Linked DNA regions of Drosophila melanogaster. The gene in region 2 interacts genetically with the main gene of each other region. Each region holds a gene or a part of one and is shown on either strand. Other genes may lie near its edges.

Region 1 (9,287 bases), on a different chromosome or scaffold from region 2:
TAAAAGCCAAAGCGAAGCCGAGCCACAATGCATATACGCGTTGTCGACGCCATCTCCCTAGCTTTGATTAATGGACTTTTCGTGTTGGCTTCGATTCTGGCCACGGCGTCATAAATAAACTCTAAAAATGCAACAACAGGCAAAAGGTGGAGCACGTCTGTGCGGCGCATATTTATCATTGGTAAACTTTATTCTTAACATTTACATACAACGCGTTAAAATTACTTGTCCAATTGTTTTTCACTTTAGATATTACAATTTTATGCCTATTTCATATATATGGATATCGTAGATGAAGTGCTTGAAAAGTTGAAAATAACTGTTTACACAATAGAATTCTATGTCAATTTTAAACTAGTCAATTTAAATCTGGCTACTATAAGTTACAGTTTTGTGTGTGTTCCGGCGGAGCGCAGGACTTGGAGAGCTAGAAAACGTTCGAGTGCCAAAGAGCACATTCGTAAAAGACCTATACAATTCGAGCTGACTTGACTCGTTCCATTGCTTTTGCTAATGCTGATCCTTTCGCCGTGGCTTCTGCTGGTGCTGGAGTTTTTGCCGACTGCTTAGACCCACTGATCTCGCCCTGCCGCTTGGGACACTATAAGGACGGCGGATCGTACTGGAAGCCCGGGTTGTTGAACTTGAAGCGCGCAATCTCAAATTGCAGTGTCTCGAATTTGATGTCGGCCAGTCGCTTCAGCTGGTGCGCGATCTGCTGGGCATCGCTGCTGCTCAGCGCGCTTGTCAGCGAACTGGGTTCCCGCTCCAGCTTTGTACTGTGCAGCGGCGGCACGGCCTGCATGTTTGAAATGCAACGCGGCGCATTTTTAACTGAAAGATATGGAAAAACGTGATGTTAACTGCTTAAACTTAAGCAAAGTAAAACGGCATAGTTACCTTCGTAGATAATTTGCTCCCTGGGCTGTGTGCGCATCCGCTTGACGGGCAGCTCGCCGTTGATCAGCTTATTGCCGGAGGAGGCTGTGCCCGGATTGATGACGGGGGCAGCAGGCCTGCGGGATGTGACGTACTCGACGGCGTGCGGCTGCACCGTTTGGGGATCCTCCTCGACATGCTCGAAGGATGTGTTGTCCACGACGATGGTGCGATAGGTGCCGCCACCCGTATTGACCGCCGTTGTGGACGCGGTGATGCCGGTCTCCGCCAGATTCTCCTCCATCATGTCCTCGTGATCGACATGCTCCTCCACCATCTCCTCCTCGTCCACCTCATCGTTGATTGCCTCTTCAACGGCTGCCTGAAGTTCCTTTTGAAATGCCACCGAAGTACGCTGGCCCAGTTCCTCCATCTCGTCGTCGTGCTCATCCTTTTCGGACTTCAGATTGAGCATCGTTTCGCCGCCGGTGGTGGGCACCTTGCCAAAGAGATCGAGAGCGCGCGTCTCCACGGAGGTCATCGAGATGTCCTTTTCCGTGGACAGAAGGCTGCGTCTGTACTTGCAGCGAGTGGTGTTCTTCCAATCGTTTAGGCGCTGTATGTGGAGCAGGAAATTCGCGATTAGAGGTAACATTATTTGGGTGATGTAGTGGTACTCGTACCTTGCGCCACTCCTCCGGCGTCAGTGTGGGTCCGGAGCTGCACTTGTTTAGCCGGTCGGAGAGCTCCTTCCACTTTTTGGTCAAGTAGTTCAGGTCATAGTCGCGCGGCACTCGTCCGGTGGCGAAAATGGGGTCGCTCTCCATCATGTCGATGTACATTTGGTACTGCTCCGATGAGGTGCGTTTCTTGCGGCGGTCCATCTTGCCGTTCATCCGGGTATCCTTGCTCTGTGCCTGCGTGCTCGATGCCGTGTTTAAATAGCTGGCAAAAGCCCTAAAATGCAAATCGACGCCACCAAGCGATGCGAGATGTTCACAAACAATTTACGCATTTAGCGTTTGGGATTTTCTAGTTGCATTTTGTTGCTGTTGGCGCAGGGTTGCATTCGGCACGCCAGTGGTGCGCATCTGGCGGGAAGCCAAAAAAGCAATTAGATGCCATGCGATAGTTATGGCTAGATGTGCAATAAATAATTCAATTTTGTTGCAATAAAAACATGCGGATTCAGAAATGATTTGTCACAATATTTATTAGCGGTTTCATATAAATCAATAATACATTTCAAAATATATGTGCAAAAAGTATTTCGTCGAACGATATGCATAACAACAGTCTTAAAAACGACTAATTGGTATATGGTACACACTACTCAAGAATTTGTTTTCAACGAATGCCTACTGTACTACTTATTGAGCGTTCCGCGGCTTTTAATTCGAGGCGAAATCAGCAGGTCCCTCTGAGCTCACATATTATATTACATTATACATTATATCAATGTGCATGGCTAGCATGGGCTATAATTCCGGAACGTACTCGAATCCGGGATTATTGTACTTGAAGCGGGCTATCTTAAAGTGCAGCGATGCCTCGTGTATGTCCGAAATGCGTTTCAGCTGCTCCTGGATTTTCTCTCCATAGAAGGCAGACGGTTCTTTCGCGGCAGATTGATCAGATGTGACATCCGCGACTGAAATCAAGGCTATGTCCCTTTATAGGATATTTAGTATTTACATTAGATTTGCGTCTACCCACCTTCGTAGATAATCTCACTGGAACCATCGAGCCTTAGCTTTTTCGCGGCACTGTGACCATTGATGATCGTTGGGTTGGCTTGCTCGTGAGGCTCTGCTATGAACTGCTGGTACTGCACCTCCTCCTCCTCCTCCTCATCCACCAACTCCTCCAGGTTCTCATTCTCTTCTTCATCCAGTTCCTCTTGCTCCTCCATCAGTTCGTGCAGGCGCATCGAAATTCCCTCGCGAAAATTCGGTTCTAAGGAGAAGATCTGCAGGGCTCTGTTCTCCAGAGGAGTCATTGCATTGCTCTTGTCATCCGAGTTGATGCTGCGTCGGTATTTGGAGCGCGTGCTGTTCTTCCAGTCGTTGAGGCGCTATAAGCATGACACACTGTGGGCTTGTACACTCGATACCCAACTGGTTACAACATACCTTTCGCCATTCCTCGGGCGACAAAGTGGGACCCGTGGAGCACTTGTTTAGCAGATCGCTGAGCTCCTTCCACTTCTTGCCGTCCTGGGTGCGACTCAGTTTGTTGGCCGACATCGGGGGATTCTCCTCCATGAAGTCTAGGTATACTTCGTATTGGTAGTACGACGTCCGCTTGTTGCGTCGATTCATTTTGGGGATCCAAATTATGACCAACAATTGAAAACAAACAAATTGAAACAGACGCCACAAAAAGGCAATAAAGCAACGAGCTATCGATAACACAAACAATTAAGGCTCCGAAATTAAATACCAAAACCGAAATACCAAACTATTTTAGAAAATATCAAAATAATTGTTTGGTTCTCCTAGGTTCGAAAAGAAGTTTCTTGGAATTTGTAATTTACCCGCGCCACAATCTCACAAGATTGTGTAATACATCTAAAAATATTTATTTTTCTCAAAATATCACATTTCAATTTATAAAATAAATTGGTCTAGTTCTTTAAGCATTTTTTGTGTATTTCGTAATTTTTGTAACAAAGCTAGTCCTGCTTTTTCAATCAAGTTCAATCAGAGGGTAGAACAGCTAGTAGAACCGCTGACTCAACATATTTTCCAAACCTTTTTTATTTAAAATTTGTATTCTGAAGTAATTCAAAAGTATATCAATCTCCGTGGTCTGCAGCATTTAACTGTACGCGACGAACGGTATCACCGTAGTGGTCAAAAAAATCAAGTTTCCTGCATTTTCAGGTGTAAAATTAACTGAGATATAGTGCGATTTCTGGCCCGAAAATTGTGCTATTTTACAGAACAGGCCACTGACCACCACATAGACCGCAAGAGAATACGGATAATGCGTCCCCTAGCCCGGAAAAGGCCGCTGGAAAACGAGGATTGAGAACCGAATTGCGAACCAGATGATAGAGTAGCGTGCCAGCCAGCGAGTGCGAGCGAGAGAGGGCGAGAGGAGCAGAGTGAGAGAGAGAGGAGGACAGAGTAGACACAAAACTTCAGGCCCGAGTTCTCGCCCATCTTACGGCCGATTTTACAGCCCATATAGCCGCTATATAGTCGCCAGAATGGCGGAGGAGAATCCCGGAGCTCTTGCCGCCAACGTGCCCTATTTGGGAGTGGATGAGTTGGGCGCATCGGTGATTGTGGAGCCTGGTTTGGAAGGATCCAATGCCGGAGGCCGGACGCTACCGGCTGCGGCCATTAAGTTTGCTGATCTCACCGAGAGCGGCAGTGAGTCGGGAGACAACGAGGCCGAGGAACCTGTATCCGCTGGCCCGGATAATGCCAACGCCATCGGTGAGCCGGGCACCAGTGCATCCGCCGCGGAGGAGAACGGAACAGTAGAGCGCAACTCGCCGCCGCCCAATTGCGCCATCTGCTTGTCCCGCTGCAGGAGGAAGTGCTTCACGGACTCGTGCATGCACCAGTTCTGCTTCAAGTGCCTGTGCGAGTGGAGCAAGGTAACCAGTCCGCAGGCGAGTAAACCATTATTTTAACCATCTAATTATTCTCGATTGCAGATAAAGCCCGAGTGTCCACTGTGTAAGCAGCCCTTCAGAACCATCATACACAATGTCCGCACCCTGGACGACTACGATCGCTACCCGGTGCAGACTACGTCGCCGGTTCCAACAGAAAATCCCTCCCTACGTTACCACATTGTGAGGCGTCCCAGGTACACGCCGCTGGTGCAGAACCAGGCCGTCATTGTCAACGACATCGAGGCGGCCATAGCGGCAGGAGCTGCTGGTGAAGATGTGCTTTCGGCGGCAGAAGTAGCAGCTGGCAGGCGATCGTACAGCCGCTTTGAGCCGTATCGCTCGGAGCTGATGAATTACTACCAGCACGATCAGGATGCATCCACGTCGGGTTCATTGAGCCAGCTCTGGCGACGTTATGTGTACGATAGAAAGCTGTATGCTCTGCCCGTCAGCGACAGCGTGACTGGACACTTTCGAGAGTGGAGCGCCCGTTTTTACAGGTCTGTTCGTATACCTAAAACCGCATACTTAACCATACTGATTTCGATTTCAAATCCTTGCTTATAGAAACAATCCTGCTCAGATTCATCGCCTGATGCCTTGGATCCATCGCGACATCATGTGCCTACTGAGGAATGCCGCACATAGCGTAAATACTGTGATGACTCTGATGAGCGACCTCCTGCCCATGACTAGCTTACTAGGTCCTACATTCCGTCGACGGCTGTCGCCGTATCTCGGCGAGCGCACCAGTCACTTTATCCACGAACTGTTTAACTTTGCCCGCTCCCCGTATGACATAAACGGTTACGATCATGTGGTGCAGTATTCGGCACGAGTGGCTGAGGAGGTGGAGGTGGATCTGTTGGACATGGTGGAGACACAATCCTCGAACGGTGATGATCTGAATTTGGAGGTCGGAGATAGCGATGCGGATGCTATAAACGCTGGCTTCTCTCCGGATTGGAGCCCCCCTAGGGTACGCCCGTCGACCAGTGTGATTGTGACCAATCCTGGTGCCACACATTCCTTCAGCGTGACAATGGCCAGTGATGGCAGTGAGCTGCCGGGGATTTCCATACGCCGTACAACCAATGTGGGCTCACAAACGGTTGCCATTAACCTGAGCATGAGGCGCCCAGCGGCGGTTGCCAGCGAGGAACCAGAGGTCATCGAGATCGACGACGGCGATGCGGCCGCAAATGCAGAGGTGGCGGCCATCAATGATGGCAGCAACACCAGTAGGAGACACGCAGGTGCTACTCTTCCAGTGACGGCGCACATCGAACTGGAGAGCAGCAGCAGTTCCGGCGATGAGGATGAGTGCGTCTTTGTGCTGGAGCTGAAGCCACCACACATGCGCACTCCCGAACAGGTGAGCCTTGACTCAAATAGTGACTCCGATGTGGTGTTCGTAAATGAGCAGCACGAAGCTGCGCCGGACGCAATTGCCGAAAACCGGTCGACACAATCCCCTTTGGATCTGGCCTCCAGGGATCAGGGCCTGTTTATGGGGCCCAGCACAAGTGGCGCAGCGGCCAACAGAGGCAAGAACTGGAAGCTGGTCATGGCGCAGACACGGCGCCTCGATCAGTTGCGCACGCTGCGCTCTATACGTTCGAAGAAATCACGCCGTTCATCCATGCCTGCCCGCAGTGACAGTGGCAGCAGCCCCAGCAGCTGCAGCAGCTCCTCCTTTCACTTCAGCAGCAGCAGCGATGAGGATAGCAGTGACAGTAGTACCACCAACTCCGAGCCACCCAAGAAAAAGTCACGCAAGCGAGTGGCGAATAATAAGCGCTCTAAAAAGGAGTCAATCGGGAAAAGGACATCTCGTAAACGGAAGGCCAAAGACCAGAATATGGAAATGCTTGAGCAGCAGCAGATAAGCCAAAAGAAGCCCCAGCGCCAACCGGAAAGCAGCAGTGACAGTCCAAGTTCGTCCGATGACGAGTCAGGTGGCGATAGCAGCGAGTCATCCGGTAAGTGGTTTGTGAATCTAGACGGTTCTTATCAGCATGTATGAATGTATGTATAACACCACACATTCTGAACAGGAAAACACTAGAATGATCTCTAAAAACAATCAAAAAACTATTTATTATCCTATCAGATCAAACTTGTATAATTACACAAATTTGTTTTCTAGGTCAACCCAACACGAACAACAACAAATCCAGCAGCGATTCCGATGATGATAGCGCTGTAAACATGCAGCTCAGTGCCTTGCGCGCCACACTAAAAGCGGAGGCAACTCTGGAGGATAGGAAACCTGTAAAACTGGAGCTTCAGTTGCCGGATGACGACCAGGCGGGGCCCCTCCACTCACGGATGACTCCATCGCCGAGAGAGGATAACGAACCGGGTTGCAGTGCACCGAAACGGCGACGCAGTTGCAGCCACAGCAATCAGTCCAGCCAGAGTGCCAGTTTGGCCAGCAGTTCGACAGCCACCTCGAGCTCGGCTCCATTAAGTTCGTTTGCCTGGGGAGCAGCGGGCTTTTCCGGCGATCCGCTGATGCGCGGACATCCGGCGATGGAAGAGCACGACATAGCCAACTCCCTAATCGAACTGTCCACTCTAACGCAGCCTGTGAACATCGGACTCTTCAACGAGCATTATAATTCGGCAGAGAATTCCATGGGCATGCTGAGCAACACGTTGTGCGACAGCCCACAAACTTTGGCGGCGGATGACGCCAATCTAGAGAACTATTTCGATACAGATGCGGATCCGGAGGCCAGCCGTGAACGGGATGCCTATTCGCTGGAGGCCGCAATCGATGTAGTTGGCGAATCAGAGTTGCAAATCGCCGAGGATACAGCCACTGCCACCGAAGAACAAGATGAGGAGGACGAAGAGGATGAAGATCAAGAGGAAGACGACCAGGAAGAGGAAAAAGCTGCGGAGGAAGAAGAGGAAGAGGAGGAGGACGACGATGATAGCGACAACCACGATGAAAACGATGAGAATCAGGGACTACTGCCGTATTAAGCATAAGCCACTGATTTAGATTTTCATTTAAGTTGCTAGTGTAAGGGAATGTTTAACTGGTTTCCGTCTTGTCTTGTTCCGATTCCTGAAATCCCCAAACCCCATAAAATAATATTTGTAATTGTAACTCATGTATTGTAGGCCTAAGATTGCCATTTTAAGTTGTACATACATATATAAACACCCATCCCAACATTATTTAAATGTTCTGTCATACATACATATACCACCCCCCCCCTTCCACATCAAAAGACGCATTCAATATCCCCCTGAAGAACATCGATTGTAAATGTATTCACGTAGGTTAGCGGCATCTATAACTAACTAACTATAAACAATGGCAACTAACTTTACTATCGTAGCTTTTAAATCGTAGAATTAGCGCTGATCAATGTATGAGGAGGGTGTTAATGTTTTTTGCATAAGTGGGCGTGGCCAGTTATGAATTTTAGTGTACTCAACATACAATGAACAAAAGATATCTGTAATACGAATCAAATACATAATAAATGTAAAGATTAAATTAAAGATAAATAAGTGTCATTTCATATTTCGTAAAGTTCTAAAAGTAATTCTCATTGGATCAAGGATGCCCCCCGGCATAGGCACCTTGCGCATTTTTTTTTTTGTTAAATTTATGCATATTTTGTTTCAATTCAATGTTTCCAGTGATTTCAGAGTATATTCGATTTCCGATGTCCCGATTTGTCACGATTTGCAGGTTAATTTATGGCATTGTCTAAACAGTCCCTTACTTTCCACACTTGACATTAGGCATCGTGTAGATGCGCCCCAAATAAAAACGTGCCACAGAGCCGTTGTGCCTGCGCAATAAGCAAAACTTTTTCGCTGAGTTTCAATTGGAATTGTTTAAAGAACGAGCTAATTGTTTAATTCCTATAAGGTAAATACTGTATCATATTGCACAGCTGGAAAAGTTCCATTTCGCGAGCGACAGTGAGCAGTGAAATCAGTATTAAATCGAATTTGTGATTGACAATTCCAGGAATTTTCGTTCACGTGTAAAGTTTCTGTTTCTGTTTTTTCTTCGAACAATTTCGACATTGTCGACACGTGGAGTGCAGCAACAATGATGCCACGGCACATGGTCCAATGGCGCATATATGTCTACGCCAATTCGCTATATTCTCTGCCGGATCGTGAAACGGGCGACTTTCGCGGCTGGTCCCCCGAATATTTCCGGTGAGTGAAAATTTCCTCCTCCAATACAAATAAGGGAAATTTCAGCCATGTTCTCATTTCTGCATTTCCTTGTAGTCTCAATCCCTTCGAGGTTCATAGGGTAATGATGTGGGTGAACCGCGATGTATCGGTGCTGATCAGGACCAGGAAGGCGGATATTTTCTATCTGTACGAGACCATCAAGAATCTGCTTCCACGTCTTAAGCTGGACAGCGAGGAGTTCCGAAAGCCCATGATCCACTTTTTTGGCGCCAATACGGACCTTTTCATCCACGAACTGATCAACTTTGCCCGTTCCCCGTACGACACTCTAATGGCCTATGAGTGCAGCACACAGTACCGGGCCTTGTTGGATTTTGATAATGGTCCTACTACGTCGGCGAAGTCCAGGGATCGCGAGTTTTTGTCGACGAGACTGCACAGCTTTGTAGAATTTACGCGCCGCATCAACTACGACGATTGCGGTGGCTTTGAGGCGGATCTGGAGCTGGAGGATGAGGATTTCGGCGAGCTCGACGATATGATGATGGAGCGCTATGGTGGTGCTCCGTTCTTGATGAAGATGGACGGACAGCTGGTG
Region 2 (9,213 bases):
TACGATGTATTTTTTGATTAAAGGGTTGGATTGATAACTAAATTGAGGGTTTTTTTTTTTTTACTAAATAAATTGGTAAATCAATGATTCGACTGTTGTTGTATAAAAATGGCGAAACTGGAAACACTAAACTAGTAAATGCGAAATGTATCATATGGATTTTCATATTTTTTCCACTGCTAATGGAAATGTTTGCCTTGAAGAGATTGGTCGACTATTAAATGATTATCGCCCGATTACCACATTGAGTGGTTTAAAATAGCCATAAAATATGCAACTGACGATGGCTTAAGATAAATACGTCGCAGAGTCACTCATAAATTTCGAACGCAGCCCGCTGATTTACCTACCCCTCTAAACGATTCATAGTATATGTACGAGTATATCCACTAAGCTTTTTCGAGCACTGATTTTTTCGCTTGCACGAGACAAGTGCACCACCGCAATTGCAGGCAAATTATGTCTGAGGTAATGATTCCGTTTCGTGCAAGATTACACAGAAATCAAATTACGACAACCTTTATTCAGTAAGCAAACAAAGCCTTTGTTGGCATCTAATTATTCCACTTATGGTTGCGATTTCGGGAGCTACAATCGGTTTTGGTTTAGTATATCTAGCGAGTTCCTTGGCGACATTTAAAATTTACAAATAAAGTTTCTCTATTCAATCGGGACAGTGGAAATTGACTATTTTATTTATATTAATGAACTTATTTTTAATTTGGCTTAAGTTACTAAGGGGTACTAATAGTTTGAGCGCAGTGCATGTCATGGGGACATGTGCAATTGTGTGTAAGCGGGAAGTGATCGCGGCCTTCCGAATTTGGCCATGCCAAATAATCCCAGCTCGAAAGGAGGGGACCCGGCGGTCAGGGCCATGGACATTGAACTTGAAAAAAAAAAAAACACAAAAATATATAACACAAAACGGAAAATGCTGTGTACCGCTTATGTTAGAGAAGTTGAGCAACGGGTTTTTCGTTTTGCAGTCACGATGGATTTCCAAATTAGTGTAGGAGGGGGGAGGGGAGGGAGGGAGATAATGTCCAGGCTGCCATAAGTGGGGAATAAGGAAAATAAAACATGAAACACGGGTCGGGCAATGTCATGCGGTATTCGGCTTTGCTTTCCGCCCAAGTTGAAGTGATCCTGTGTGTAAATAATGTCGAATGTTGCCGGTCGGTTGCATAAGCGTTAGTCAATTATGCCAAAGAGATCTGATTTGTGGAAGCTTTTTTTGACCACTTAGCGCGCTCCGCTTGATGTTGTTTTGTTTTGTGCTGGGGCAGAAAACTTGTTTCAATTATTGGGAAAAGTGCGTATAAATCATTGCCGCAAGCTCTGAAAAGCGAAAAAGAAAAACAGTAACCAAACAGACAAACGCAGCATCCCCCCACACAATTAAGCAAAAACTTGAAAACAAGTCAATTCGAAAAAAATTATAGGTTCAACGGCTGCAGCGATCGCATCATTAGTTGCGTTTTTAGTAAATACACCATTTCATTACACAACACACACAATTAATTAATAAAACTGTACTGGTTATTTCAAGTGTGTCTTTTAATAAGCCTGCCGATCGCAATAAATTCGAGCAGCATTGCCGGTAATTTTGTGCAACATATTTTTCGATTGCCACACCGTGTTTGTTTATTTTTCTGTGGGTGCAATGATTTAGAATGCGGGCAAGGGATCAAGTTGAACCACTTCTAAGAAAAAATAGCATTGCATAAATGATATAGAGTCCAAAAACTACACAAATTCAATAGCAGTAATGGTTACATTAGCTTTGAAATTGTTTTTAGACATCCGAAGAAATAAGATTAAATTTAAACGGCATTCTTTAATTTGTATTTTAATATTTTGAGAGGTTTTCCTTATTTAAAGTGTAGATTATTGAGGATTAATGCAAACCACTTTATCTGCGGAGGTCGTAAAACGTATTTTTACCCATTTGCATGTTTATTATGCGTGTGGCTGGTTGTATTACTTTACTTAAGTTTTGCAATTTTTTCTTTAGCAAGCAGGTGCATTTGGGCCAAGAGATATATGCGATCGCTTTCGGTTCGAATTTTTAACATTTACTTGCGGCGATGGTCATTAGAGCATTACCCACTTAGGGCACCCCCAACATCCAGTTGATTTTCAGGGACCACAATATTTTAAATAACAGCTAGTGGAATTACCTAAAAGCGCTTTCGTCCCTTTTGAAATTTTATGTAACACTCAATTATATTTATGTATATGTATGCTCAAAATCACCTGCCAATAACTAGCGGAAACCAAATATTTGACCCTCAGTGAATTGTGAATCATCGGTGACGCCCAATCGAAATCCAATCCTAAGCAATTGAAACGAGCACGAGTTCCAATTTAATAGTATACAAGGAAACACCTGCTTTAAATACTCTACATAGTACACGTTATAATAACGATTTATTTGATATTTCTGGATTTTTGTCTGCATGTATTTCATATAATATTGATTTGATTTTTTTAATGAATTGAACTAAAAAATCATATTAGAACATTTTTTGCAGTCGCCGATAAAGATGAACACTGTTCTCAGAACACAACTGTCATGTATTAAGCTTTCAGATTTTCAGAAATTTGGAGAGCAATGCATTCTATGCACGAGCCTCCTGGCCTTACAATTTACTTGTTTGAAATTAGATCGTCAAATAAAGTCCCTAAAATTAAATAAATAGTAGTCACAACTTTAAAATAGGTCTTAATCTTTTAGGGTACCGAAAGGTATTTCGGCACAAATCAGCGCAGTTTTAAATGTCGATGAAGGCCAAAAATCATACCAAACCCAGCGAAAGGTGATGTCTGACTCATTAAATTGGGGGATTCGAGTGTATTTATTAAACATGCGTGAAAATCAATCATGGAAGACAAAACGCAAAGTTGGCCGATCTATGGGAACAGCATAAGCCACCTGATTACCCGAACACTGAACCACCCGAATCACTAAAACCACCGAAGTTGGCGCGCGCCTTCGTTTTCATTTTCATTGGCCTGTCTTCGTCTTCGGAGAAAAAAAACTTCATATAAAACGCGGCCGACATATTATGGCCACCAGTCGTTACCGCGCCACGGTCCACAGAAGAGGATTAAAAAAATATCACACAGCCGAAGGCTAGAGAAGAACCCCCTATAGCTGAACATATATAAACAAATATATTTTTTTTTATTGCCAACACACTTTGGCTTAAGTGTTAAGAGTGATTGTCAGCTTAGAGCTAAGTGCACTGTTCCAGGACAAAGGGTGGATCCTTGTGACCCTGATCACCTTGGTGACGCCGTCTTGGGCTGCTTACAAACTTCAGGAGCGATATAGTTGGAGCCAGCTGGACTTTGCTTTCCCGAATACCCGACTAAAGGACCAAGCTCTGGCTAGTGGAGATTATATTCCGCAAAATGCTCTACCTGTTGGAGTCGAACACTTTGGCAATCGGTTATTCGTCACTGTTCCCCGCTGGCGTGATGGTAAGTGGAAGTTAAATATGAAGCCCTTGGGGAGATCGTAAATGGGACATTCTTACTTAGGGCATCAGAGATATCTGATTGAGTGGTTGACAGTTTTATATGGCTTGTTTGACATGATGTAAAAACACAAAATTCATTTAGTTTAGGTATTCAAATAAGAGCTTGTTATTTATTTTAGAATTTGGAGAACATTTTTTTGTCTTTCTACCCTTCTTAGAAAATAATATTGTTTTGTACAATTTAATTTTAAACTAGTACAGACGAAAAATGTATTTTTTTATTTGTATGCCTTTTCACCATTTTGGCAGAGGAATAAATATGACAATATATTTTGAGAGCACCCTCATGTAAAGGTTTTAGCGTGGCGACCTCTCATAAATCCGGTTGGTACCTGCGCGTTATTTTAACATTTTAAACAATTAACCGTTGTAAAATCGAAGCCAATAGCATGGCATTGGCTTTATACTGTATTAAATTGTATTATATTACCATCCGAATTGTAAAGACTTCTTCAGGGCCGCCACATAGAAATGGAAATCCAATCACAAACAATAACTTATGGCATTAGCTATTAACCGACGATTAGCTGTCAGTTCAACAAATGTAAGAGTGGCGAAATGTTTAAATGCGAAGGCATTGTTCTGTGACTCACGTTTTATTATTAATCACACAAATGATTTTGCTTCAAAATTATTTGGCTTACACAATAATCAAAATTTTTATGAAATAGTTGAAACACAAAACTAGGAAATTTTAAAAAGCAATGAAACTAAAAAACCCAATTGCTAAGATTATATGATGCGCATACAAATACTTCAGTACGTCTAGGAATGCTTTCGATGATTGATTAGTTTTTATGCATGGCTTACAATTGGTATTTACACAGAAAAACACGGCGATGTTAATAAATTTTGTACATATGTTCTTAAGCAGTCCGAAACACCCAAACTTCTGACTAAACTTAAAAAAACACGCTCTTCAAGGATATCTTAATGTCACTTATAATGTAATGGTATTGTATTATTAAGTATATCAAAATATTCTGGCCCAGCCTTGAGGTCTCTTTTTAAAAAGATATCGACTGACTACCTCCAGTCAATGAAATAATAGCCCAGAAGGCCGAATCGGCAAAAAATAAACCCCAAGTTACGGCAAACAAAACATAGTGAAAGTTGTGGCAAAGTGGAACATTTAAAGGCATGCTTCAATGGCCATCGAAGCAAATCAATTAGTCAAAGCAAATCGGTAGTGGCAACAACAGGCTACAGAATACCTATAAGTGACAGTTATGGGGTATGATTAATTATAAATATTATCATTGACCACCAATGCTGGGCTCAATTGGAAAAACTATTCTATGAAGATTTGAGTAAATAAATTTTGATTTAAAAAAGCCCATGGTTATCGCGACAACTAGCTACGGGACAAGATTACTGTTTAAAATCAAGTGTGAAATATCAAAATCAAAATCGGATTCCGATCGGGAAGTTGTATCCGATTCTGAAACTAAAACACAGAATTGCCAACATTTTCCGATATCGACTCAGCTCACGTATTTCATACAGATTCATTAGGCCACCAGCCATTGAATAATATACCCCAGTCAATTGAGCTACTCGATAGTTGATCAACTTAGCTTTTGTCAACGAGTGAACGCATAAACTACTACATCAACGATATTTGCGGCCCATTCCAAGCTAAAAGTTCATCTTAATTACAAATAAGATTAGAAAAAATATCTGAATGAAAAAAATGTTGAGACATATTTCTTTGGAAAAGGAGAACCTCAAGACAGTCGAAAAAATTGTTTACAATGAAAATGTTGAAAATCATGAAGCAGATAAATCTGTCAGTTGCGAGGTTTTAGGACTGAAAGAGCACATGTCAAAATATAAATTTGTTCAAATACTTTATATTTGACTGAATTAGATTGTTATTTTAAAAGTTATGAATTAAATAAAGATTGAAAGGTGCATTATGCTCAAATGTATATTTATCGCAACCCCCGGTTACTTTGTAAAGCAAAAACGCCTGGTTTGATTTTTAAGAAGATGGGTCGGTAAATCGATAAAAGCTATATTTTCTGGTCGTTGCAGTCTCACTCGCCTGCTATAAAAACATTAAAAGTTCCCAGAAACAATAAATGTCTTTAAATTCAATTAACGAAGAAATAAAGAAGGAAAAGAACTGGAGCGGAAATCGGTCGAAATACTGCCAATGGCCACATATACATTTAACAGCGATATATGGTATACATATTGATAATGATGTCAGACGCAATTGCTTCAGACGGCTAATGACATCGCAAATTGCACGCAACTTGCAATAGTGCCAATTATGACTGAAGTACATATAGCCGGGGATCTTTTAACATAAACTTCCAGTAGATGTACAAGCAGAAAAAAGAGCCATTAGCACGGCAGTTACCATTGCTTATGATTCCTTGTGTCCAAAATAATGACAAATAGGTATATAAATAATTAAATGCCAAACATAAGCGATTCTAATTTACCTTTACATCTGTATGCATTTACATATTATCCAGAAAACAGACAGCGATAACTTGCAACATTGCTTAGTATAATAATCCAAAGAAGGAATTTAGGCAGAAATTCCAGTTAATTAAATATTCAAAACAAACTTTATTTAGTGCCTCAATAATAGTTTGGCCCTGCTAATTCTCCTATTTTATTTTTTAGGGATTCCGGCCACTCTGACCTATATAAACATGGACCGCAGTTTGACGGGTTCACCGGAGCTAATTCCGTATCCAGATTGGCGCTCAAATACAGCTGGAGATTGCGCCAACAGTATTACCACTGCCTACCGCATTAAAGTGGATGAGTGTGGTCGGCTGTGGGTTTTGGACACTGGAACCGTGGGCATCGGCAATACCACCACTAATCCGTGCCCCTATGCGGTAAATGTCTTTGACTTGACCACGGATACGCGAATTCGGAGATACGAGCTACCTGGCGTGGACACAAATCCAAATACTTTCATAGCTAACATTGCCGTGGATATAGGCAAAAATTGCGATGATGCATATGCCTATTTTGCCGATGAATTGGGATACGGCTTGATTGCTTACTCCTGGGAACTGAACAAGTCCTGGAGATTCTCGGCACATTCGTATTTTTTCCCCGATCCATTGAGGGGCGATTTCAATGTCGCTGGTATTAACTTCCAATGGGGCGAGGAGGGTATATTTGGTATGTCCCTTTCGCCCATTCGATCGGATGGTTATCGTACCCTGTACTTTAGTCCGTTAGCAAGTCATCGACAATTTGCCGTATCCACGAGGATTTTGAGGGATGAAACCAGGACGGAAGATAGCTATCATGACTTTGTTGCCTTAGATGAACGGGGTCCAAACTCCCATACCACTTCACGTGTGATGAGCGATGATGGAATTGAGCTGTTCAATTTAATAGATCAAAATGCAGTGGGTTGCTGGCACTCATCAATGCCGTACTCACCGCAATTTCATGGCATTGTGGATCGCGATGACGTTGGCTTAGTTTTTCCGGCCGATGTGAAAATTGATGAGAACAAAAACGTTTGGGTTCTATCCGATAGGATGCCCGTTTTCTTGCTGTCTGACTTGGATTATTCAGATACTAATTTCCGAATTTACACGGCTCCCTTGGCCACTTTAATTGAGAATACTGTGTGTGATTTGAGGAATAACGCCTATGGGCCGCCAAATACCGTTTCAATACCAAAACAAGCCGTTTTGCCAATGGGTCCACCGTTATATACGAAACAATATCGTCCTGTCTTGCCACAGAAACCTCAGACCAGCTGGGCTTCCTCGCCGCCTCCTCCAAGTCGCACTTATTTGCCCGCCAATTCAGGCAATGTAGTCTCCAGTATTAGTGTCTCTACAAATTCTGTGGGTCCTGCAGGAGTGGAGGTGCCAAAGGCCTATATTTTCAACCAGCACAACGGCATAAATTACGAGACAAGTGGTCCCCATCTATTTCCCACCCATCAACCCGCCCAACCGGGTGGCCAGGATGGTGGGTTAAAAACTTATGTGAATGCCCGCCAATCTGGGTGGTGGCATCATCAGCATCAAGGTTAACATAATCCTACACACGGTACTTGGGTATATTCTCACACACTCGATTGATGTAAAGAATATTTAAAGACAACAACATAGGGCAACAGCGGTTAAAAAAACCACATGACGTATGAGCAAGTGGCAAATCAATACTTTATCTAGTTATGTTAAGCAAAAAATAACAATAAATCAACTTTTTTTTGAAGGTTAAGAGTTTACGCAATTTTCTTGAGCGGAAAAAGCGGAAAAAATGTAAGTATGCATAAATTCTAAATATATCAACAACTGTACATTTTCTGGAGTACTACTACCAGGCAAGAAAGTAGGTTGATAAAGCTATGCACAAGATCTGTCATATGGATGGGTTTCGCATCTTCTGGATCATAGGACTTGAGAACATACACAAACACAACTAAAATCAGAAAAGGTTGCCAGCAATCACTTTAGTTTTCTGCAAGCTAGATCCACCTGCTACTATCCCTACTTTCTTCTGTTGGGGTTGTCAGAGCTCTACCTACAGTTGATTAAACCACACATCAGTCATCGTGTTTTTTTTACAATTTTCCTAATTTCCTTACTTGTATTGCCTACTTTTTTGCGAGGGACTTCTATTGGCCAGTATATATTATGTGTTGCATACTCTTGGTCACAGCAAAAATAAAACAAAAAATACGCATGGTAAAAGAATGCTTCCTTTTTTACGCACAACGGTAGACGAAGCATATAATTTTTACATATCGGAAATGTTCTTGAAACAGAGCTTAGTAAATTTATACGCAATATTAGTTAGTGTATTTTAATTTTCGCCTTTTAGTTTCACCTTGTTGTGTAATCAGGGAAAGTGATAATGTATTTAATAATAATTAATAGTTTTAATGATACAAATCTATTGCGCAGAAATCCGATGGGTATTACAACATTATGATTCCTTCTACATTATAGATACATGCAAATTGTATATCTCGACTATAGCGTTCTCTCTTGTTTATGCTACAAATGTAAATGTACTAAAGAAAATATTTTATAAAGTATAAATTTAATATATTATGACATTTGATATATGTCATTTATAACGTGGAAAGAATATTTATTATACTTTCGAAAGTATCAAATTAGTAAGCACTTTTTTAAAAATCATAATTAACAATTAACAATTCCAATAAAAATTGTTTTTGGGTGCATATTAGTTTGAAGAATCAAACTTTAAAATATGAGTTTGAAATTGCAGCATACATACATACACATAAGGCAAAATTTAGAGCTTTTTTTTCGGTGCATCGGCAATTATTTATTTACACTACCAGGCGACTGTTGATATTCCCAGTCTCGGGCGGGGCATTTTGTCAAACTGTCGAAAAACAAACAGAGGAACAAAGAGCAGGCAGCATTTATATACTTTGTGATTACGGACGGACAGTCCCAAAAAGCATTCTGTGCGAAGCACTTAACGCCAAAAGTGAACAAAACAACACTTGCTCTATTAACACGCCACACTGTCTGAAGGCAGTCGGCTTAACGAGAAACAAGAATATCCTACGTGTGGCTAATTTGCGGTTAAGGAAGGCCCCATGATATATAAAGCCAAAAAATAAAGCAAAACCGCAGCAGTTCATTCAAATTTTTTGTGGCCAAAACAAATATTAAGATAAAAGTCAGTG

What was found.
Region 1: of y (region 2) and Topors, changing one suppresses a phenotype caused by changing the other (phenotypic suppression), as found in Drosophila melanogaster (one study listed by BioGRID).

What each region holds. Positions count from the first base shown.
Region 1 is NT_033778.4:18,969,234-18,978,520, forward strand, and holds Topors (topoisomerase I-interacting protein), read left to right. Parts: upstream 1-3,378; 5' UTR 3,379-3,705; exon of another isoform or gene 3,706-3,764; 5' UTR 3,765-4,093; coding exon 4,094-4,489; intron 4,490-4,549; coding exon 4,550-5,010; intron 5,011-5,077; coding exon 5,078-6,492; intron 6,493-6,659; coding exon 6,660-7,504; 3' UTR 7,505-8,029; downstream 8,030-9,287. Other genes in the region: prod (proliferation disrupter), read right to left, coding at 602-834, 901-1,495, 1,563-1,775; CG15107 (uncharacterized protein), read right to left, coding at 2,358-2,542, 2,596-2,953, 3,012-3,200; CG18605 (uncharacterized protein), read left to right, coding at 8,595-8,707, 8,783-9,287. UniProt on the Drosophila melanogaster protein: Functions as a ubiquitin-protein E3 ligase. Negatively regulates the transcriptional repressor hairy/hry by promoting its ubiquitination and subsequent degradation. Also directs the nuclear organization of the gypsy chromatin insulator.
Region 2 is NC_004354.4:353,429-362,641, forward strand, and holds y (yellow), read left to right. Parts: upstream 1-3,080; 5' UTR 3,081-3,251; coding exon 3,252-3,489; intron 3,490-6,188; coding exon 6,189-7,576; 3' UTR 7,577-7,817; downstream 7,818-9,213. UniProt on the Drosophila melanogaster protein: Controls the pigmentation pattern of the adult cuticle and larval mouth parts.